Linked DNA regions of Coturnix japonica. The protein of the gene in region 1 purifies or fractionates together with the protein of each later gene. This does not show direct contact. Links are inferred from orthologs where the notes say so. Each region holds a gene or a part of one and is shown in the gene's direction. Other genes may lie near its edges.

What was found. Proteins that work in one complex are often made in the same cells at the same time.
Region 2: the proteins of CD44 (region 1) and FGFR1 purify together in Homo sapiens (affinity purification with mass spectrometry; 3 studies listed by BioGRID and IntAct, counting the BioPlex papers as one, with this or other methods). This does not show direct contact. The link is inferred for Coturnix japonica from reciprocal best matches to the Homo sapiens genes CD44 and FGFR1.
Region 3: the proteins of CD44 (region 1) and ERBB2 purify together in Homo sapiens (affinity purification with western blotting; 3 studies listed by BioGRID and IntAct, with this or other methods). This does not show direct contact. The link is inferred for Coturnix japonica from reciprocal best matches to the Homo sapiens genes CD44 and ERBB2.

The regions. Positions count from the first base shown.
Region 1 is NC_029520.1:5,850,668-5,854,167, reverse strand, and holds part of CD44 (CD44 antigen), read left to right. Parts: intron 1-1,166; coding exon 1,167-1,383; 3' UTR 1,384-3,500. UniProt on the Homo sapiens protein: Cell-surface receptor that plays a role in cell-cell interactions, cell adhesion and migration, helping them to sense and respond to changes in the tissue microenvironment.
Region 2 is NC_029537.1:3,713,989-3,717,488, reverse strand, and holds part of FGFR1 (fibroblast growth factor receptor 1), read left to right. Parts: intron 1-751; coding exon 752-1,015; intron 1,016-1,654; coding exon 1,655-1,738; intron 1,739-1,982; coding exon 1,983-2,158; intron 2,159-2,842; coding exon 2,843-2,966; intron 2,967-3,463; coding exon 3,464-3,500. UniProt on the Homo sapiens protein: Tyrosine-protein kinase that acts as a cell-surface receptor for fibroblast growth factors and plays an essential role in the regulation of embryonic development, cell proliferation, differentiation and migration.
Region 3 is NC_029542.1:3,928,568-3,932,067, forward strand, and holds the end of ERBB2 (receptor tyrosine-protein kinase erbB-2), read left to right. Parts: intron 1-17; coding exon 18-156; intron 157-225; coding exon 226-348; intron 349-422; coding exon 423-521; intron 522-591; coding exon 592-777; intron 778-845; coding exon 846-1,001; intron 1,002-1,075; coding exon 1,076-1,151; intron 1,152-1,224; coding exon 1,225-1,371; intron 1,372-1,445; coding exon 1,446-1,543; intron 1,544-1,616; coding exon 1,617-1,787; intron 1,788-1,911; coding exon 1,912-2,167; intron 2,168-2,239; coding exon 2,240-2,583; 3' UTR 2,584-3,119; downstream 3,120-3,500. UniProt on the Homo sapiens protein: Protein tyrosine kinase that is part of several cell surface receptor complexes, but that apparently needs a coreceptor for ligand binding. Essential component of a neuregulin-receptor complex, although neuregulins do not interact with it alone.

The DNA.
Region 1 (3,500 bases):
CAGCTGGGAGTGAGACCCAAGGAGAGACAGTGCGTGTGGGTGTGAGTATGAAATCGTGGATCAGACCCTAGCAGCATACACCAATCCCTAGGGAATAATTTTTCAAGTAGGGATGTCATCTAGTATGCTTGAAACAGGTGGAATGTTTTCTCTTGCTTTAGCAAGATCAAATAAACAAGAGATTCATTTGTTCTGATAAGCACTAACCTGCTGCAGACTCGGGTAGGGTTAGCTGGGTGGTGGGGTGGGAATGTTCTAAGCGTTAATTTACTTAAAAGTGAGAACTGCAAATTTGTTACAACATCAGCATGGCAGCGATCTCAAGCACCTACACAAAGCAATTGGTCCTTCTCAGTGAATTGCAGATTGCTTCATCATAGTGTTTTTGGTGTTGTGGAATTGGTTTTTTTTATTAATTTTTTTCTACGTTTAATTGTTGTTGTCTTAATAAAAACAGATGTTATCTTAAAACAAAAACCAAACCAATTGCACAAGGTTGTTCAGTGCAGGGCAGTTTACTTGTTTGATTATGTCTTCATTATTCTTCATGTTGCAAAGAAGACTGCCTCTGTACGATGCCTGTTGCCAAAAGAGCTAGGATCTCCATGCAGTCCCAAATTTGTGCACTGACCATCATTTCAGTAAAGAAAATCTGAGTTGCTCTTTTGAAAGCCTGTGTTCTCTCTGCATTTCATGGCTGCAGAGCAGGAATTGTTCCCAAGTGTGCACTCAACATTTATACAGCAAACTGAGCTCCCTTGGATAAAAAAGCTCTCAGTTATCAGTCAGTAAGCATGAATAAAAGTGATACTTAACTGCCAGATTAGTCATTCAGGCAAAGCCTGCTTTGCCAAAAACACTTTTACAGTACAAATTTAAAAGTTGGTGTCCGTCTTAAGAGAACTATGCTGTGTGCGTTCAGTGAACACTCAGCTGTTGGATCTTGATCCTGAGTCTGGATTTGGAATTATTCTGTCTGTATAGTGGGATATATACAAAGCTCCTAAATAAAATAAATAAATAAAATACACAACATGGAGAAACTGTGCACTTTGCAGACAAGTTTCATTTCCAGGATCCTTTTCCTAAATACTTACTTGAATTTTGTTTTTGTATTTCCACTACTCTCCACTTATGGTACTCATATTCTTTTTATTTTGATCTAGATGTGGGCAGAAGAAAAAGCTAGTCATTAATAATGGCAAAGGTGCAGTGGAGGACAGGAAGACAAGAGAATTAAATGGAGACGCCAGCAAATCACAAGAAATGGTGCACTTGGTTCACAAAGAACAGTCGAATGACCAAACAGGAGCATGTGATGAATTCCTCACCGTTGATGAAACACAGAATCATCAGGATGTTGACATGAAGAGTGGAGTGTAGCGGTATGAAGTCACCAAATAGATCAGTGTTGGGGAAATCAAAATCACACGGACCTTGGGCAGGAATTCACAGATGCACTGTGCTACTGATGTCGTTTGAACACGATTAAGCTTAAAATATTCTTCATTTTTAATTATTTTAGCATGATGTCCGAGTTACAAAATTGACATTTGCTTTCTGAAATAAGCCCCAAGTGTTGCAGTCAGTTCCCAATTTGCACATAGAGGGCGCTTTCTGGATCCTGGACATGTGGCATGCCATTGTTCCCCAGATGCAGTGCCTTCACTGTGCGGAGATACAGAAGCACCCAGTTGCTCCATGTTATAGGCATTTAAGGTACTAAGCTTGTCATGGTACAGCAGTAAGTGAGTAACAGATGTTAAAAGCCAAAATTGAAAAGACTTAAAACAGAAGTGCCTCCTATACTATGCCTAACCCAGCAGAATCCACCAGCAATGCCTACCAGCCAGGAAGAGTGCAAGGTGCATTCAAAGTCTGCCAGTAAAAGCAAAAATTAACGTTTTGTAATGATTGATGACTTGGTCTGTAACAAGTGAAACCCAGAAGGATAAAGTTTATTTATCTCTATTTTAAAATGTCTGTGGGCACGCAGCAGGATTTTTTGGGAGGGGAAACAAAGTGAGGAAAACGTGAGCTGATGCATAATAAACTTGTCTTCTTTGTTGTCTTAACAATCTGTACATATATCCTTGAGTTTCCAAGGTGTCCATGGCTCTTCCCCACCCCCTCCTTCACAGATCACAGTTCGTGTATGTTTTTTAAGAAGTCAGCTAGTAAAATTAATAAAGCAGTATGACCCTAGATCTATTGTGCGTGCACAAATCAAGCAATTGGAAGCCATCAGACATGACGACAGTATTTTTATTCCTGATGAATAGGTCTTTCTCTTCCCCTGCTCCATTTTTACTTAGGAGATGCTGAGCCCAAATCTTGTTTCTCCCATGATTGTTGTATTGCACCAGTTTGCCAGTATTTTGAAAGTTAGTTATATATGACATTGCTCACTTCTGATTTCTGTTTCATCCACTTTTTACTTCTTCTAGCCCAAAATGCCAAAAGAAAAACTTAGTTTATCGGTAAAAGAAGTTGAAATTTTACAGAATAGATCAATGAAATTTTAAGGAAACTCACCACCCAGTAATGTAATATAGTAAAATAGTTGCAGCTGCATCATCATGCTCTTCTGTTTTGTCCTTCTATGTCTGTTATGTGAAGTATTTGTATTAAGCTATGATGCTGCGCATTGTATTCATATGAACTGCCAGGAAGAAAATGATTTACTACCAGTGATCTGTGCCATCTTTAAGAAAGCATATTGGAGTGGAGAATAACTTCTAATTGGGCTGCCTCAGAAAAATGCAAGTAAAACCAACCAGAAGTGACTGCAAGCAGCAAGGTCTGTGTTGGCTGGGATGGGGAACGTTTGCTAAGAGATGTTCAGAGGTATCTGCTCCCTGACCACAGCACCTGCGCTGGAATTCACTTTGCTAATGTATGTTATTTGGTGTTCTCCATCTGAAGCAGTGCAGAGGATGAGTTTTCAGCTGGCTGCATAGTAACATTAACTAGCACTGGTCTTTACTATAACACCAAACAAAATGAAAATCATGATTGTGGTTCTAAGTTTACAGCCCTTCAGCAGTTTCCCAAGCATTCCATCGAGTGGCTTGGAGCCCTGGAATCTGCGGGCAGATCTCCTCAGGGAAAATGTGCACCTTGGCAAAAGGTCCCAAGATGAGGTGTGATTTCAGTGTACATATAGGATGCTTTCTGACTCTGTGTATGTCTCTTCTGTGAGCAGTCCAAGAGTGCTCACACAAGCCAAAGCCAATAAGGATAAGGCAATGTACGCTGTCAGTACATGAGGCCCACTGTCAAACCTCTGCCCAACCATAGTCACATATTTCAATACTGAGCTGTGCAAAGTCTGTTGACAGTCTGCATTGGGTTTTGTTTAATTCTTGTAAGGTTTTAAGGCAAGCTTTTCTATCTGTCATTATAAATGAAGATGATTGATTGAAGGCTGTGTTTAAACTGGTGTTACATACGTATTTCTCTAGGTGCGGAGATCCAGAATAAGAATTTTTCCTCTTCTT
Region 2 (3,500 bases), on another chromosome or scaffold:
GGAGATAGCAGCAGAGGTGTGCGAGCAGAGCTGACACAGGAAGGAGGGCAGACAGTGCACCAGGCTGAGTGTGAGCACTGGGAGGGATTGCTGGGAACCCAGATGGTTGCACCCAGTGCAGGATCCTCATGCAGCACCGCAGGGTGAGGAGAAAACAACATCGATGACCAGGAGAGAACAGTGCTGGGATGGATTGGATCATTGTGCTGATGGAAGGACGTCGCAGGATGGCTACGGGCAGGGAGCACCCGACAGCCCCCACCTGTCTGCAGCCCCCAGGCTGAGCTTCCAGCACTGTCACTGAGCCCTGCTCTCTGCCTGCTGCCCCAGCATAGCCCTGTAACCGCCTGGTGCTGAGCCAGGGGGTCCCGGCCTGCTTTGCTGGCTGTCTGCTGCTGGGCAGGGAGACCCTGGGGTCGAGCCGTGCAGGGTTTGGTGCTCCTCATCCTGCCCTGCTGCCAGCTCTGCCCAGTGTGCCTCAGGTTGCAAATTCCTCCCCATCTCAACCCCCTTCTGCAGCGCTTGGCAGGAGACTGAAGGCGCTTGCGTAGCTTTGGGCTCCACGGCTGTGCCTTGGGGCTGCTTTGGTTGCTTTCAGTGTGGCTGTGCTCAGGGTCCACCCCTGTCCCTCAGCCAATATCCCGCAGCGCATGTTGCCTGATTAACCCAGCCCTCAGCAGCCTGGTGTCCCGTTGTCTCTATTTCTTTTCTTTTTTTTCTCCTTTTCTTCCTCTCTCCCAAACTCCTCCAGCTCTGCCCAAAGCCAACATCGAGGTGGAATCCCACTCTGCTCACCCTGGCGACCTCCTCCAGCTGCGCTGCCGGCTGCGCGATGACGTGCAGAGCATCAACTGGGTGCGTGATGGAGTTCAGCTGCCTGAGAACAACCGCACGCGCATCACTGGAGAGGAGGTAGAGGTGCGGGATGCGGTGCCCGAGGACTCAGGGCTCTATGCCTGCATGACCAACAGCCCCTCAGGGAGTGAGACCACCTACTTCTCCGTCAACGTCTCAGGTTCGTAGCGGTGCCAGGGGGGCAGCACCGAGGAGCAGTGTGCCTGTGTGCACGCCTTGCATGCTGGCTGCCAAGCTCAGTGGGGTGCAGCCCTGCACGCATGGGATGCGCCACCAACTTTGTGCAATATGGGGTGGTTGTGCCCTAATGGCTCAGCGTGGGGATGTATCAACACAAAGCACTGCAGCGGGGTCAGCATTGCTGGGTTTTCTGCTCAGAGCTGCACAGTTGGTGGCCAGCACCCTCTGCACCCATTGAGTCCATGAGTGTTCTTCCACGGTGGCAATGCATGTGTGGGGACATGTGAGTCTGCATGGAACTGAGCACCGGGTGAGCTGGAGCTGAGGTTTTCTTTGGTGGATCTGAAGCACAGTGGTGAGGAATGAGGGCTGACTGAGGGTCGGGGCTTCCTCTGTTTGCAGGACCCCGGATGGATGGGTGTCCCGATGTGCCTGGCAGCACAGTGTGGGCACTGCTTTCCTGTGCCCAAAGTCAGCCTTGGGGGCAAACTGCTCCCTGAGCTCTGTGCTCCAGCCATGCAGTGTTCTCTCAGGGCCTCATGCCATGTGTCAGCACGGTGCACAGGAGAACAGGAGGGGTCTGTGCAATGTTATGAGCTGGGGGTCTCTTCTCTTGTAGATGCGCTCCCTTCTGCAGAGGATGATGATGATGAAGACGATTCCTCCTCGGAGGAGAAGGAGGCAGATAACACCAAGCCAAACCGTACGTGTGGGTTGGGTTTGCCTATGGGTGGGGGTGAAGGGAAGCCAGGTGTGCATGTGAGCGGCATCCAGGGGCTGAGAGACAGGAGAGGAGAGGCAGAGTCCTGCTGCAGCCCTGGTGGAGCCTGGTTGGGGTGTGGGGATGTACCAGGGATATGTGCGCCTCACCCCAGTCCTGCCCTATGTTAACCATGAGCAAACATCAGTGCTCCCTGTGGCTGATCCTGCTGCTTTGTGCCCTGCAGAGGCTGTAGCTCCTTACTGGACCTATCCCGAGAAGATGGAGAAGAAGCTGCATGCCGTCCCTGCTGCCAAAACAGTGAAATTCAAGTGCCCCTCAGGTGGGACGCCCAACCCCACACTGCGCTGGCTGAAGAATGGCAAGGAGTTCAAACCTGACCACCGCATTGGGGGGTACAAGGTACAGAGTGGTCAATCCGTGTGGTCAATGCCTGGGGGTCAATGTGGGAGGAGGGGAAATGAATGGGTTTCAGAGGCCCCGAGCCGCCCATTGGTGCAGCCGCGTGCCTCTGGAAGGGCAGATGGGCCCCCTGACATTCCTGTTGCAAAATAGACCCACGGCAGTGACCTGCTTCTTGGTCATGTTTGCAGCAGCCTTAACCTTTGGGGGAGGGGAGGGGGATGAGCCCAGCCTGGCTGCACTAATCCCAGAGCTGAGCCAGGATGGTCGGGGCAGCCCTGGGAGCACCGCACAACTCCCACATCCAGCACTGCACTGTGGGAGAAGGAGGATGAAGAAGAGCTGCTCTGCTTACAGAGCCTTGGTGCAGCCTGGAGTGTTTGGGCTCAATGTGCCCCCCAGGGCAGCAGGGTGCTGGTGCTCCCCATCTGTGTGCAGAGCCCTGGTGGAGAATGGGATGGAAGCTCAAGGCTTTGGGCATTGCCAGCGTGCCATCAGAACATGGATGTGGGTGCTGTTCCCTTTGTGCCACTCAGGGTGGTGCTCCTGGGACAGGTGGGAGCAATTATGGTCCCTCTGTAGGAGAGGGGAAAGTTGACCATGAAAAGATTTATGCTGTGCCAATGGGCTGAGATGCTCTGATGTGCACACATCTCACCCACCACCCCCATCCTTTTGCCCCAGGTCCGCTATGCCACGTGGAGCATCATCATGGACTCGGTGGTGCCATCAGATAAGGGCAACTACACGTGCATCGTGGAGAACAAATATGGGAGCATCAACCACACCTACCAGCTGGATGTTGTGGGTGAGGATGGTGCTGGGGCTGCTCTGCCTCCCACACAGCAGTGGGTGCTGCGCCCACGAGGTTCACCTCGAACCCTTCTGGGGCTTTTTAATTGTGATGGAAGTAATTTCATAGACCAGACAGAAACTTTTTCTAATCGCCTTATTAGCCATAATTCCCAGCTGGGAAGGCTGGTCTGAGCAGTTCCACATGTGGAGTTGCTCTAAATGCCAGTAAATGAACCATTAAGAATGTGATTTAATTTGATTACACTGAGCAAACTGAAGGGAACAGTCAGCGAGGTGAACAAAGGGGTTTGTTAATGCTGACTCACCACAGTGGCAGCGGCTGGGGCCCTCATTAGGTTTGTTTGACCTCTGGCCCTTGAATAGATAGCAATGTCCCTGTGCTGGGATGTCACCTGGCTCTGTGGGGCTGTGGGATGAGACCCCTTTGGGATGAGACCCCTGTGGATGTGGGTTGCTCGTGCTGAGGTCCCCATCCCTCCATCCCTGCAGAGCGCTCCCCGCACCGGCCCATCCTGCAGGCAGGGCT
Region 3 (3,500 bases), on another chromosome or scaffold:
CACCTCCCGTCCTGCAGCCAGGTGACATCCATCATTGCTGGTGTGGTGGGGGCTCTGCTGGTCGTCGTCCTTCTGCTCATCACCGTCGTCTGCGTCAAGCGCCGGCGGCAGCAGGAGAGGAAACACACCATGAGGCGGCTGCTGCAGGAGACTGAGGTGGGGGGGCTGGATGACCCTGGGGGGGGCTCAGAGTGTTGTCCCTCCTCACCCACTTGTCCCTCGCAGCTGGTGGAGCCGCTGACGCCCAGCGGGGCCCTCCCCAACCAAGCACAGATGCGCATCCTCAAGGAGACGGAGCTGAAGAAAGTGAAGGTTTTGGGCTCCGGCGCTTTCGGCACTGTCTATAAGGTGAGGGGTGGGAGGCACAGTCAGTGGGATGGCACCATCTGTGTCCTCACTCACCGCCCCCCCACCCCCCATAGGGCATCTGGATCCCCGATGGGGAGAGCGTGAAGATCCCGGTGGCCATCAAGGTGTTGCGGGAGAACACATCACCCAAAGCCAACAAGGAGATCCTGGATGTGAGTGCAGGGGAGGTGGGCACGGGGCTGGGGAGTCGGTGCCAACCTGACCTATCTGTGCTGCCTGCAGGAAGCCTATGTGATGGCCGGGGTGGGCAGCCCCTACGTGTCGAGGCTGCTGGGCATCTGCCTGACCTCCACGGTGCAGCTGGTGACGCAGCTGATGCCCTACGGCTGCTTGTTGGACTATGTGAGGGAGAACAAAGACCGCATCGGATCCCAGGACCTGCTCAACTGGTGTGTGCAGATCGCCAAGGTAAGAGAGGGGGCTGCTGAGGGGCTGTGGGGGGGATGTAGATGTGGGGCTTAACGCCTGCTGCCCAGGGGATGAGCTACCTGGAGGAGGTGAGGCTGGTGCACCGTGACCTGGCTGCTCGCAACGTCCTGGTCAAGAGCCCCAACCATGTCAAAATCACCGACTTCGGGCTGGCACGGCTGCTGGATATCGATGAGACCGAGTACCACGCAGATGGGGGCAAGGTGGGACATGGGGACGGGGCAACAGGGAGCGCGGTGTCCCCTGAGGGTCCCGCTCACTCCTCCCACCCACCCAGGTCCCCATCAAGTGGATGGCGTTGGAGTCCATCCTGCGCCGGCGCTTCACCCACCAGAGCGATGTCTGGAGCTACGGTGCGTCCCTATGGTGGCTGTGGGGGGCAGGGGGTCCCAAACCAGCACTTACCCCACATCCCCATGTCCTCAGGTGTCACCGTGTGGGAGCTGATGACCTTCGGGGCGAAACCTTACGATGGGATCCCGGCACGAGAGATCCCCGACCTGCTGGAGAAAGGCGAGCGGCTGCCGCAGCCGCCCATCTGTACCATCGATGTCTATATGATCATGGTGAAATGTGAGTGGGGGGGACATGGGGACGTGGGGGCCAGGACCCCAACGCCGCCCTCACGGTGCTCGGCTCTGCCCCAGGCTGGATGATCGACTCCGAGTGCCGGCCCAAGTTCCGTGAGCTGGTCACCGAGTTCTCCCGCATGGCCCGCGACCCCCAGCGCTTTGTGGTCATCCAGGTAATGGGGTCTCAGGGGGGTCTCGCCTTCAGCATTGCCCCAACGGGCACTGACAGCCCCCCCTGACCCCCAGAACGACATGATCGGGCTGCCCAGCAACATGGACAGCACCTTCTACCGGGCGCTGCTGGAGGAGGAGGACATGGACGACCTGGTGGATGCTGAGGAATACCTGGTCCCTCACCAGGGCTTCTTCAGTGCTGAGACCTCCACCGCGTACCGCAGCCGTATCTCCTCCACGCGGGTAAGGGCTGACCTGGGGCATCGTGCTGCTGCAGGGCGCACAGGGTGCAAGTTCTCTAATGCCACCCACAGACCCTATAGACCCCACAGCACCGTGCCCGACTCCGTGCCCTTTGCCTCCTCAGAGCACAGCAGAGACCCCAGCTGACACGACAGAGGGGGAGGAATCAGCCGCCTTCCCCTTCCCACCGCAGAACCTGGTGGAGGGGTCAGAGTGCCCCGTGTCGGAGGCTCTGGAGGTGGATGTTGGGGCCAAGGGAGCCCTGCCGAGCCCCCCAGCCACACGGTACAGTGAGGACCCCACCGCGCTGCCGGGGGATGAGAGTGAAGGTCTGGACCCTGAGGGCTTCACCACCCCAGCCCCACATACCACTATGCCAGGTAGGGCAATATAGGACCCTGGGGAGGGGGGCAAGGACCCTGTTTGGCTGCTGACATCCCTTTTCCCTGCAGAGTACGTGAATCAGGCTGGGGAGCTGCCGTCACCCCCCCGGCTCCCCTGTGCACCACCATCCCCACCAGACAAGCCCAAGGGCCACCAAGGCAAGAACGGGCTCATCAAGGACACCAAGCATCCCTTCCTGGGGCCCTTTGGCCACGCCGTGGAGAACCCCGAGTACCTGGCCCCCCCGGGGCTGCCGGTCCCCACAGCCTTCAGCCAGGCCTTCGACAACCCCTACTACTGGAACCAGGACCCCCCCAAAGCTGGGAGCCCTGAGGGTGGGCCCAGCTCCACGCCAGCAGCTGAGAACCCGGAGTACCTGGGTTTGGCTGAGCCTGAGGACGTGGCTGTGTAGGGCAGGGCCACATACGGACCCCCCCCTTTCACCGAGGCAGCTTGGGGAGGGACGGCACGAGGCCGGCGATGGATGTGGGGGCAGGACTGTCCCCAATCATGGGGGTGCCCTATACTGCAGGAGAGCATAGAGCACTGTGAGACGGCGCAGCAGCACAGGGGGGGGCACAGAGGACCCCCAAAAGGAGCCCCAAAGCCCCACTGAGATGGATGCTCCAACCCCACACGGTTCCTGGAGGAAGAAGAGCAGCATCAACAGGACCGGGAGCCCCATCACCCTGCTCCCCATCACCATACACCTATATACACCTGTATACACCCTGGATACACCTGGACCACGCTGCTGCTGTCCCAGAGCCCCCCACCACCCCTGTGCCCCCAGCCCCCTCCCCACCGGCGCCCAGCAGCGCTGGACACATTGACTTGCACTGAGCAGGTGGACACGGGGCTGCCTGGGCTCCTGCTGGGTTCCCGTTAAGCTGACAGTGTCACCTGGATGTATATTTCATCATTGTAGATGGTTTTTTTTCTACTCCACTTTGTCTGCGTGGTTTGCTCCCATCTCCTCCATCTGCTGCTCTCACTGCAGGGAAAGCCCTGATAGCCAAGAATGGGGCAGCTGCCCTAATCCTGCTTTCATTGCCTGGATCCCCCCCATGCTCTGCAGGGACACAGGGGAAGAGGAGCCACGTTTACCTCCATCCTTTATTCAGCGCTGGGCCCACAGACAGTACATCATAAATAGGGGATGGGCACCAATAGGGGATGGGCACCATTCTGCCACGCTGCCCTGGGCTCAGCTGCCCCAAGGGCAGAGTCATGATGTGGGGAGGGGGAGAGCCGGGAGCCTGGGAACGGGGCAGCAGGGGAAGCTCGTGGCTGTTCAATGAACCCTGGGGCTGTGGGGATGGAGCCAAG